Linked DNA regions of Saccharomyces cerevisiae S288C. The gene in region 3 interacts genetically with the main gene of each other region. Each region holds a gene or a part of one and is shown on either strand. Other genes may lie near its edges.

What was found.
Region 1: of FET5 (region 3) and FET4, extra expression of one rescues a mutant of the other (dosage rescue), as found in Saccharomyces cerevisiae (one study listed by BioGRID).
Region 2: mutations in FET5 (region 3) and SMF3 impair growth when combined (synthetic growth defect), as found in Saccharomyces cerevisiae (one study listed by BioGRID).

The regions. Positions count from the first base shown.
Region 1 is NC_001145.3:912,232-916,399, forward strand, and holds FET4 (Fet4p), read right to left. Parts: upstream 2,308-4,168; coding exon 649-2,307; downstream 1-648. UniProt on the Saccharomyces cerevisiae protein: Required for Fe(2+) ion low affinity uptake.
Region 2 is NC_001144.5:209,864-213,540, forward strand, and holds SMF3 (putative divalent metal ion transporter SMF3), read right to left. Parts: upstream 2,071-3,677; coding exon 649-2,070; downstream 1-648. Other genes in the region: RSC58 (Rsc58p), read left to right, coding at 1-406; mismatch repair protein MLH2, read right to left, coding at 2,506-3,677. UniProt on the Saccharomyces cerevisiae protein: Has a role in controlling the cellular iron ion levels. Mobilizes vacuolar stores of iron in conditions of low iron levels.
Region 3 is NC_001138.5:47,135-52,009, reverse strand, and holds FET5 (ferroxidase FET5), read right to left. Parts: upstream 2,872-4,875; coding exon 1,003-2,871; downstream 1-1,002. Other genes in the region: YFL040W (uncharacterized protein), read right to left, coding at 1-660; YFL041W-A (uncharacterized protein), read right to left, coding at 3,085-3,276; LAM5 (Lam5p), read left to right, coding at 4,266-4,875. UniProt on the Saccharomyces cerevisiae protein: Iron transport multicopper oxidase, which is required for Fe(2+) high affinity uptake. May be required to oxidize Fe(2+) and release it from the transporter. Essential component of copper-dependent iron transport.

The DNA.
Region 1 (4,168 bases), on a different chromosome or scaffold from region 3:
TGGCCGAATTTATACAGAAGATTGACGGCACTTCACCTCGAGAACTGTTGGTGCTTTTTTGCCTTTCACTTTTCTTTTTCTCCTATATTGTCGTATCGCTTCCAGATGTGAAAAATTGGCAATGTGATCTTCGGTCAAGGACGGACCGGACATATAAGCGGAGCGGGGAATCTTTAGTCAGCAATGGAAGTTCACACAGTAGAGACACAAATTGTGTCACAGTATATCACCCATTTACTGTAAAAAGATAAAAAGACCAGTAAATGTAACGGAAAACCATTCATTTTAACGGAGCCGTGACGAGAGTGGCTGTGATCGGAATTCCACGTCAAGGTCCTGGAAGACGGGGATCGGGGACTAAAAAAGAGCGTCGAAAGTATCCAGTACGTCATTACCAAGTTGAAAATGAAAAAAGATCAATTAGCCACATTTTATCCTGGATTTATTATCTATTATATATCATTTTAAATGGTTTAGGCTCCCAGAGAAAAAAGCAAAACTCAGGTGAGGTATATGTACAAACTAAATAAAAGTTCTAAGGTCGATCGCTACCTCCGTATAGAAATTCCTAAAATCCCTAAGGAAAATTAACTCCCTCATAAGTAACATGAGGAATTCTTCCCACTAATGCTAAAATGTTCAATGAAGCTATTTTTCCAACATCATAACCTCTGGGAAACGCTTTTCTACGTATGATAGAAGTATGCGCCTACGTGCGTACAAAGCGGTAACCTCCACTCTTCTTTGACGATCGGCCCAATTATGTGCTTGCAACAAAACTAGCAAGAAAAATTCTTCGATAATCATAGTTGGCGTGTTAGCAATCAATTGACCTGTTGTACTCCAACGCAAACCGGAAGCAATACAAATTAAACCAATGATGATGATGACGGATACAAGAACACTCCATGGAGTTGAGCAGATCCTATTAATATATTGGGATGTTCTGTAACCAATAGTGTTAATTTCAGGAGCTTTACCACTAAATTCTTCGGGACATTCAATACCTAATTCTTGGAATAATTCAAGGTCTTCTTTAGCCACATCAGAATAATTTTTCTCTTCATGTTGAACGATTCGGAAGTACACTTCTCTCAAAACGAAACCGTCCAAAAACCCAATTAAACCTGTGTATGTACCGATAATCAACCACCAATTATCATCCCACTTCATTGGCGAACCAATACCAATCCATGTGGCGAACACTGCCACACCAATCAGGACACCAATACCAGTACCAATAATATCAGCATACCAATCAATCATCTTTCTCCCTGTCGACCTTTTTTTAGATTCAATAGTAACAACTGGGTGAGGTGTTTCAAAATCGTTAAAATGCTTTCTTATACGATAGTCGATTTTCTCGTCCATATCAAAGATATCAACTAAAAACCTCCCCGTGAAATAATCATGTCTAGCCCTTATATTTTGTAAGAAAGTAGTGCAAATTAGAAGGGAAACTGCAACTGCAGTGTTAATATACATCTGCCAAGCGTCACTGAACTTTTTCAATCTTGGATTACTACCTGTAGTTTCTCCGGTGTAAGGTGGAGTGTTGCCCGCATCTTTTGGGATAGCACCGCAACCAATCCAAACGAAAATACCTATCCAAAATATCACCATTGCTGCAATTGAACCCATATACCTACTTGCTACGTTAGATAAACGGTCGTACCAATTTTCCACAGGCAGTTCTCCGTTAATGGCAGATGGGTCTATATGATTTTCAACAGAGCTGACTTCATTAGCTTCAACTGTGCAGTCTGCTTTTTCTTCCTCTGGGGTGCTTCTTGTTAGATAGTTTTTGAAGGAAGCCAATCTCGACTTCAATCTACCGCAGATCAAAATTTGTTCATGCGTACTCATCAACTGTTGTCTCATCAACAGTGTGTCCCAAACATAACTTTGAATAGACTGTCCGTCCTGCATAACAACTTGCCAATTGAAAGGTGCGTTATAAACAATACCAATAACCACCCAAATTATGAGGATGATCCAAACAATAAAAAAAACCGCCTGCGAACCGGCCACTCGTACCAGGAAATCCAGGGTCTTATCTGTGAAACCTTTGCTTAACCCGGTAAAACCTTTACTCGTGAAGATTGCCCCTGTTTCTGTTAAATTCACATTACAAAGTTCGTCATCAGTACTCTCATCGCTATGGCTGACTACTCTGACCACATCATCATTTTTGTAATCGTTAGAATCACCGAATTCTTCGTACTGTTTGCAGTCAACAGTAGGTGCTCTATGATGAACGTCAGGCCTAGCACCTGGATTCCCGAGAAACTCTGCAATTTTACCCATAATTTGATTAACGAATGTTTAATAATAAGGGTCTTATTAGGTTTCTATATCTACCTTTTCCCTTCTTATATCTGATACTGTTTGACTTATGATAAAAGAAACTTACTTACCTATCAATTAATTCATGCCGTGTGAAGTATATTTATATAAACAAGTATTTCTAAATGAAGAGCATCGAATCAAGATGTGGTAGATGCTAAACTAATGGGTGCAATTAAGAAGGCTTCTACCAAGCAAGTTCAAGGCCAGTAGCATTATATAGTTTTTTTGTCTTTATTTTTTTTTTTGGTTTTTTTTTTTTTCGTTTGAGAAAAATGCTGCTTCCTAAAAAGACTCAGCAAAAATGCTCATGACCTAATCAGTTTCGAGAGCAACCCCACGGGTAGGAAAGAAAGAGGCGCCAACGTTAAAGGAAACTGCCCATATCTAATACATAACCGCACAAGCTCCAAGCTCATTCAACACCTGTGTGATTTACGCCCCAATAAGGCTCAAGATTCCTCAATATTTTGTCGTTGTTCGAGCCATGAAAACCTCAAATTACTGCTACAGGACCCTAGGGTCTCGCTAAAAAAATGACTACGCGCGCTTATATAATTACTCGAATAAGACAAAAGAAAAAAACCCTTGCGATATGTCGTAGACACGTAAAAATGGCCCATTTAGTGGTAGTCGCAAACTAGAGGGGTAAAAATAACCTGTCCAGTACTGAAAGTAATGCTAGGGAAATGCGAATGACCGTACGTACACCTTCGTACATGCAGGTATTTAGGGGGCTTATTGTTTATGAACAATAGCACTATGCCAGGTCAAACATATCATGTTCGCGCAGTCTCCTCGTGGGATATATAAAGTGAACAAAAAGTGCACCCGGTTTTCGGAACAACGCTCTTCGCAACAAGGCAAAAAAGAAAAATGGGACAACGTAATCGGAGAATACCCAAAGGACATTATAATCCAATCAACGTAGTAGTACGTATGGTTAGAACAGCAAGCACAGATATTTGCTCATATGCAAGGAAACTGGTGTGATTAGAATGCCTTAAACATGAGTCCAATGTATGCGAATAAGATGCTACGTTGAATAAGCAGATCAAAGAACTTTTGGTAGGAAAAGCTTCTTTTTTTAAAAGCGCACGTTTCTTTTTCTTTGTTGGACCTTCCATCAAAATCCTTAATACGTGCAGCGAAGCAGCAACGCATTGACAGTTCATACAGGAAAGAGGAACAAATATTTTGAGCTGCTTGTCCCAGGAATCTAGGTGCTTACGTATCTTTTATTTTATTTAAATGTATGATCTTACCCACGATAATGGTCTTAGTACTTTAGTTTGGCAATGATGGAACCGGAGGACAACGGACAAAAGTTAGGGTATCTTTACTCTGTCACTGCGTATTTTTTGAAATACACTATTTTTACAAGGAGTTAAGCATAACAAGCACGTGCTGCAGATGTTTTCATTTAGTGAGTGAAGATCTTTATTCAAGTAATTCATCTTCATCCGTATAACTTCTTAGTAAAGCGACAAGGTCTGATGGCCGAATTTTTTTAATTTTGGCCATCGTATTAAAATGAACACTCTAAAGCCGAAATGAGAAAGATCTCGCTAATAGTAGGTTAGGACTCAATGGCTAGGTTATATTTTTGCCTTCGTGAGAGTAATTTACGTCGAGTAATGTCGCCTGACATCCATATCCCTTTGTTATTCTTCATTAAATGTCACTACAAATTCTGTCCTTACTGAAGTAAAGAATATTTGAAAATACTACACTGATCTTTAATTACTGATCTACAATAACACACAGTGTTGAAGGATAATTCCAAGACTCTCACCTGCGACTGGTCGTGTTAGGAAACCAA
Region 2 (3,677 bases), on a different chromosome or scaffold from region 3:
TGATGCGACTATCGCTTCTGCAAATTCAGAGAGTACTGAGAATAAGGAACAATTCATAATCAAGCTTCAAAACTTATATAATTGGACACCATCTAATTACATTGGAGATGACGAAATTGAGAACTTTCGAAATGGCACACCAGATAAGTTGGTTTCAGACTCTCTCTTAAAACTTAAAAGACTTAGAAAGGAGAGGATTTTAAATAAAGTTTTGAAGCCTACTACGGAGGAACGAGAATTATACTTCAAAGTGAAAAGAATACTAAAGGAGGTTATCTTAGCAAAGAAGGTTTCCAAGGTTCCTATAAACAATGTAAGGGCCTTTCCAGTATTACAAACAAACTATAATGGTAGCATACCTGTGGTAAGGGCGCAACCAGGTCGTAAACGGAAACACAAGAAATAAATAGTGTCAGCGGTAGTGGAATCAAAGATAAATAATGAATTATCTTTGTTTTAGTTTCATGAAAGCTCATCAAGTCTTTTTTGACTAATGTATGTTTATATTTTGATATTAGATAAAGTATGCATTTGTTCTGAAGGCTATGCATACGTAAGTATATACTTGGGTTGTATTATGCAGAATAAAGAAATGAGAGAAAACAAGAATCGAGAGAAAACGACACACTTGACAATAAATAGGTTCCATTAAAAATGGATGTCGGCACCTAAGAGATAGGAAATCACCAAATAGCAATTCAAGCTCCCGATTAAAGCCCATACGAAAACAGAGGTATAGGTCAACAAACGACTGTTAGTAAAATCAACTATTTTACTGTGCTTGGAGTTCAATGGAGTGGTTTCATCAGCAATGGCGTTAACATCGGCAGGTGCTCTTACCACACCATTTTCGTCATGAACAACCATCAACTTTCTATTTGCGGTAAAATAAATTAAAGGAGCGGATACGATTGGTAAAATTAAGGACAAGACCACTTGAGAAAAATTCAAAATATCTGAAATTCCCTTTTCCCCCATGGTTAAAGTAACAAATAAACATGGTACAATGGCAATCAATCTGGTGCACAATCTTGTGGCCCAAGGTGGTAAAGACCACTGTAAAAATCCCTCAGAAACGATTTGCCCGGCAAGTGTACAGATGATACCGGCAGATTGACCAGAACATAACATGGCCAATGCAAAGATTAACCCTGCCGCAGGAGATATGTAGTGGACCAGTAATTTGTAAATAGATAACAAATCAGCATCCTCTGCCTCAGGTTGGCCTGATAAAGTAGCACCTGCAACAATTAAAATAGCGGAATTAACAAAGGTGGCAATTAAGAACAAAGAAATGATTAGTTCAGCGTACGCATAGTTTAACGTATATTTTATAGCGCTTAAACTTGGGCGGGCATTAACCTTACCGTATTTCTTCAAATCGTAATCGTGCAATCTTGGTTTAACAATGGATGAGCCCAAGTATAATGAATGAGGCATCACAGTGGCACCTAAGATACCCAATGAAATGTAAAGAGCTTGTTGTTCCTTAAAAATGATATTTGAAGGCAAAAACCCTTTAAACAATTCAGCTTTGTCTGGGATTGAAACTTTAAACAGCTCCAAAACAAAGCAAATGCAAGTTCCAATGACCAAAATCCCAACGCCAAATTCGAAAACCCTAACTTTTTTTAAGGACTGGCCGTTTGGTGTGTAGAACATTAAAATTACCAAAACATCTAGCACCGTTAATAAGACACCCCAAGTTAGTGGTATTTTGAAAAGAATTTGTAAAGCGATGGCAGTGCCTACAACCTCGGCCAGATCAGTAGCAATGATTGCCACTTCAGCGAAAAGGTAAAGGGTATAGTTTAGCTTTTTAGGCAAATTATGACGACAGTTTTCAGCCAAATCATAGCCAGTGATAGTACCCAGCTTCACACAGAGACATTGCAAAAGTACGGCAAAAATGTTGGATATAAAAATAGAGAATAATAAGGTATATTTGTATTGAGCACCACCGGAAACACTAGTGGCATAATTTCCTGGGTCCATATAAGCCACACTGACTAATATCCCTGGCCCAATAAATTTGGCAAATTTTTGAAGAATCTGCATATAAGATCGCATTTTTTTTCTCTTGTGATGCTACTACTGTTATCAATTAGCTTGGAAGAACGATATATTTAAAGGAGTTCAGAAGGAAATAATAGTTTGGGTATGACAACTGAAAAAAAAAATGAACTAATATATAAAGGAACCCCGTATATTTATGTGGAGTGATCTTTGTCTTCTAGCTCCTTTGAAATAAATATTCAATTATGCAACCTCACAGAATCAGATGAATGAGATATATACAGTATAAATACCTTTAGTCGCATGACAACAGGATGTCGTAACAATGCAATATTAGAGCATTTTTAAGTTGACCCAAAACGGAAATTTCAAGGTGCGGAAACTGGAAGAGAGGCAGGGCGGGCAACAGGGTGCGGTTACCATGAGTTACAAACAATGGTCTATTATGAAGTAATCTATTGTGCTGAGTGGTGATAGTGCACCCGATCATCAGGGGCTGTCTGGCGTGAAGAGGCACCATTCATTTGTCGTGGCTTCAATGTGTCCCGGTTTCTTCACATGCGCTCGCAAGGCTTGCAAAAGACTGGAAGAAGGGCTTGTGGCATCGTCCCTCGATCGTAACCACAGAGTTTCTTTGGCAAAGTTATCGCTGTCATGCTTAACAATTTTTTCATTCTTCAGGGTATAGACGTAGTTGTTGGTATACTCGGAAAAATGCATGAGTTTCGGCCTTGTTTTGTGCATGCAGGATGCTTTCTTTATATAATTATCAGTTACTTTTTTTTTCGAATTTCGTGGAATGGTCATGTCCACGGTATTGTTTCTTTTACCGTAGGTTTGCTGAAGCTTTATTAGTTCCTTTTTTTCTGTATTTGAAAGCTGTCTTTCGTTGGGCATTCCCCTTTTATTGGCATCTCCACAGCTAGTACGTTTGGCCTCAAGTAAGTTTTCGCTCAGTTTCTTGTTGACGTTTCTTATTTTTGTGATCATAAAAGGATTAGAAATAGAAGCGTCCTTAGAAAGTTCTAAATCCTCGTTCTCTGGAATAGTTTCTATATAGTTATAAGTTAATGACGAGGGTAATGTTGAGGATCCAGCTCCTGCTACTTCACTATTTTCGCTTAGTTCTTGTTGGAAATTATGTCGCCAATTAGTACTGTCCTCGGAAGCCATAGACCCGGAACTCGAGCTTCTATAACTTGAAATGGTCAGCTGAGTTTGTTCGTCAAGAGCTTTATCCTCGCTAAATTTTGTAGGTGAAGGAGTAGCAGCGACAATGGTCGTATTCTCTAAGTTTGCTTCATCGTAAAAAGTTGGTACTATCAAATCTGAGTTTTTTTGTGGGATGTCAGTCTTGTCTTTACCACTAACAGCACCACAGCCCTTTGATATTTCATTCTCTGCGTCGGGTGTAGGTATCACCAGTGCGGGAGAAGTTTTTTCGTTGATAGAAGGCTGAACATGTTTATCTCCCAGCATATTTGTTTCGATGCCAATTCTCTCCTCCAATAACAACTTTAACTTATTCTCTATCTTCTTAAATATCACTTCAAAACTTTTGATCATCACGTCATTTTTCTCTGGTTCGATATTTACGTCAAGAAGCTTTGTATCGCAATTTAAATTAATAAACCAAACCATAGGATCTAGTAAAGAGAAAT
Region 3 (4,875 bases):
CATCTTCCCATGTAGTACTAGCCAGTGATAAGATTCAGGTAGAGCGTAGCTAGCCATCCAGAACAGTAATCCAGGAATGATTCCTATGCACCACGCTATACGGAACGCAAAATGAGAATCCCATAGACTTAATGCAATGCACAAATAATGCATAACAAGAATTCCAATGGTTAAACACAATTGAATATAGCTCATCGTACTTCCACGCTTGCCGCGGGGGATAACTTCATTTGCGTAGGATGCTACTAAAATTGAAAAGTTCCCAAGGATCATACCCTTGATCATCCGGCAAATTAGTAAACCTAATATATCCCAAATACAAAAGTTCAATAACGTAACAATATTCCATATTATTATTCCCGATTGAAATTGATATATTCTACTGAATCTATCATTCATTATGCAGCAAATAAAACATCCCATGATACCACCCAGGGGGGTGGACCCCATGAGTAAACCTTGTTGTAAAGGAGTTGGATACTTGAAGTACTCATTAAACGTTTTGTTTGTGAGAAAAGTTGCCAATGACGGCACCTCAAGGCCCATTATAAATCCTACTAGTGTCAATATCGCCGTAATTTTCGTAACTTCATAAGTTTTTGTAATTTTGATTTTCGGCATCTTGGGAAGTCTCCAGACAATAGCTTTCATTGCTGTCATTGTGCTTAATAATTTTTAAAGTATAATGTTAGAAACTGTACTTGTTCTTTCTTTTTTCTCTTCTCATATTACACTTATTGAATATTTTGTTTTTTGATTTTCATCCTTTTTTTGTGACGTTCTTGGCTGAGCGTCACAACGTCAGAGCTAAAACAACGAAATAAAAGAGAAAAAAAAAGCAATAGATTTGATTACGTATGAATATTATATAGGGAATGGAATGAACAAAATGAAAATACTCAATAGTAAGCAGTATTTACAGTGCTACATTTTTTTTAGGATTGCAAATCATCAATATGAATATAAACTTCTTTCATTTTTCTTTTATATTTTCTTGTTTAATTAGCCGCGAGAAACCTCTATTTCATTTTCAGCCAAGATTTCCCTTAACGTGTGGTACACCTTCTCATCGTTAGGGATAACCTCGCCAATACCATACTGAGCAATGGAATATAGGCCCCAGACACCGATAATGGTTGAAATAATCAATGCCAAATATCCTTCAGTAGTAAATCCCTTTGGTAGTGGCTCAGGTTGTCTTGGTAATCCTTTTAAGTCAAACCAATCATTCGAATGACCTGCAGCATTACCAACTACCGGAATATCAGCGGCTTTGCATATATCCAGATAGTTCTCATTAAGCTTTTCCCTTTCCTGAAGTAAAACGGGTGCCTCAATAAAGACCGAAGCCAAACCTTGTTGTAAGTGCCAATCTACATGACAATGGAAATACCAGACACCAGGGTTGTCAGCTCTAAATCTCAGGACAACATGTCCACTAGGTTCAAGAACCACTGTATCTCTCACCATCGGCCTCTCAGGGAACGGTTGTAATGGCGCAGATTCGTTATAAGGGACGGTCATTTCATCTTGCTCAGATTCGTCATAAGCTTCATCAACATGGAACCCTGGCGACTTTTGGACTATTTGGAAATTATGACCGTGCAAATGGAATGGATGTCTGCCAGAATCATAATTGTTTAGAACAACCTCTATGATATCATTATGTTTCAATAACTGCGCATTGATATTATCACCATAAATTCTAGGATCTGACGCAAGCTTTCCTGAGGTAAGCAACGTTGTCAAAGTAGGCACCTTTGGTGTGACGTAAGTGATATTATTGAAAAATGCATACTTCACACCATCACCCAAGTTGACCATTCTTACATCCATGACAATTTGGTGGTCATAGTGAGCAAGTAGGTCTCTCTCAATCAGAGGTTCTAGGTAAAAGTCATTCGTGGCGCGGTCCAAGTCACAATCTTCAATGTTCAATGCGCGTGCCTCCGGCAACGAGTGGCCATACCTCATTTGGATAGTTTGGTTGAGTTGTAACTCAGGTGGGACAACATCAAGCATCGTCTCATCCATTATTTGCATCATAGCGTAGTTTCTTGTAGGCATTTTATCTTTAGCTTTAATCAACACACTCATTCTTTGCCCCGCAGAAAGATATATCGAATCAGTAAAGTTTGGCTTTACGTAAACACCGTCCACCTCTACTATACTCATTTCATGATCCTCAAGAATGATATACTGGGATACAAACAGCCCAACGTTCAAGAACCTGAAGAGATACGTTTCACCGGGTGTAAAATCTAAAGTTACATTCATCGTATTATTAAAAAGAATATTTTGAGGAATAGGTTCAGCACCGGTTGGATTATATCTTGACAGAAACTCTTTGGTAACCGTTTTATAATTTTCGTGATAATGGTCCGATAGAGTGATGACTCGTTCATGATCATATTCGAAGGGCTCCTCCGGATCGTGGATGATAAATGCACCCCTCATACCGTCACCGTACTGGGCACCCATGTGTGCATGGTACCAGAACGTTCCTACCTGCTCTGGGACAGTGAAGTTGTACAGGTATGTTTGTCCCGGAACGATGGGACATTGTGTCACCATAGAAGGACCATCCATTTGAAGCTGGTTCCCCAAACTCGTATTCTGGAAAAGACCATGGAAATGTAGAGAAGTAGCAGTATTGTCTTGAAAGCCGTTAGTCAAATAAAGCTCAACACGATCTCCTTTTTCAACATGGATATCTGGAAGTGGCCATTCGCCATTAAAACCAATCATCCTTTTTTCATGCAATCCATCAGGATTGGCAGTTACCCAAGAAGCGGTATAGTTTAACTTATGTGTCTTTGCCAAAGCAACACTAGCGGCCAGTACAGACCACACGAACGAGTAGAACAACATCGTTTCTTGTCTTCCTGTGCTTGATTCTTTCTTCTTTCATTCGGAACTCTTTTTTTACGTCTTCGTATTTTCTGTGATCTTATATAAAAATGTATGTATTATAAGAATCGATGGCGAAACAGGGTGCAGACTGAATACAAAAGCCACAAAGTAATAAAACAAGAATATTAAAAATATTTAGATACAGTTCGATAAATTCTATAAACACCTTACCTATCTTAGCTTGAGCAGCTTTTTTGAAAGGAAATCAACCAGTAGCCTATCGGTAATCAACTCATAGACATTAATACAATCCCTAGACATCAAATCAATGGCCAAGGAGTAGTCACCATCGTCATACTTGAATTTCACTTTATATGTAATCTCTCTGAAGGAATCTCGTTGGGAGGGTCCCCACATTTTCATTCGAGGGGTGGATATCAACCTACTTAACTGTTCCACCGTTCTTGACACATTTTAGCATATTCTCAACGCTCTTTTGAGTACCTGAGGACTCGAATCCATCAGGCTTCCTTTTTTTCTGATTATAGCAGTTCTTCATAGCGTTTATAAACTGTCCATTTTGCTCTTTCTTGGAATCATGTGTACTCATGAACACCAAACCCTCTGAGTACCGCACCCGCCAGCAGATCAATTGTTCCAGCACCTATAACTACAGCTTACTCCCCACACTTCAGCTAGGACGGCCTTACTACATGGAGAGCGACAAATAGTGGCATCTACAGAGGACTCTTGCTAGAAATTCACTGTAACGGTAATCAGTAAACGCAGTCGACGTTAACCACGAACTCTTGACAAAGGGTGCCGTCACGGTCAGTGATGCAGCAAATGGTATGTTGAGCTGCAAACTATAATGGCCTCACAGAAACTCTTTGGTAAACCTATTTGGGTATGAGGGCTATATGCTTACTGCATCACCCGCTTTACAGTAGTTTGAGATACTTCAATTTCAAGAACAGCACCGTTGGATTCGTGGCCCAAAGTCATGGGCTTCCCAGGTTACTTTACGCTGACCTGGCCATCCGTGTAGTAGTGAATGTCTGATCCGCAGATTCCAATAGCCTTCACTTAAACTTTGACCTGTGACATCACGTTGGCTTGGCAACTTTCTGAATCTCTTTCATGTTTGGTTCAAAACATTTGATAGCTTTCTGCATTGTGTTGAGTGGAGGTCAGAAGGTCAGATATTACCAATTACCGTCATCCTCAATGTCACTCATGATAGAATGTTTGCTTTATGTCTGAGATCAGAGAGATCGCGTATCGCTGAGCAGGGGGACTTGTTTCTCCCACCCTTTTTCATAAAGCATCTTGACAATTATATTAAAACACTCAACCATTTCGCTATCTGAGAAAAGGGTGAAGAAGGCAACTACACAAAAAGATTAGTGGTGATGTCGGATGTAGATAACTGGGAACCCGTATCAGATAATGAGGACAGTACTGATTCTGTGAAACAATTGGGTCCCCCCTTTGAGCATGCAAGTAACAATGACAATGCCGGCGATACTGAAGCTGAGTCACTGCAAGAAGTGCCCCTAAATACAGAGACCAACGACGTACGCAAGAATTTAGTAGTGATTACAAACCAAAGTGCCGCCGATGAACACCCTACAGAGATCAAGCACGATCAATCAAGGACTTCTTCGACGTCCTCGTTCTTCAGTGGAATGATCTCTTCGTTTAAGTCAAACGTGCCATCCCCAGTTTCTAGATCAACTACGCCAACTTCGCCAGTTTCGCAACCAAGCATTATATCACATAGAAGGGAGCCTTCCATGGGGTCCAAAAGAAGATCAAGCCGCCGTATCAGTAATGCCACAATTGCTGAAATAGGCTCTCCCTTGCAACAGGTGGAAAAGCCTGATGAGGTCAAGACAAGACTCACTCCTTCCCAAATGAAAGAAGACAATTACGATCATAGACGATTCGTGGAAGAACGTTACATGGACACACCTTATCACTATGCGTCTGAGCAAAGAAATAAAGACTTTCATGAGACAT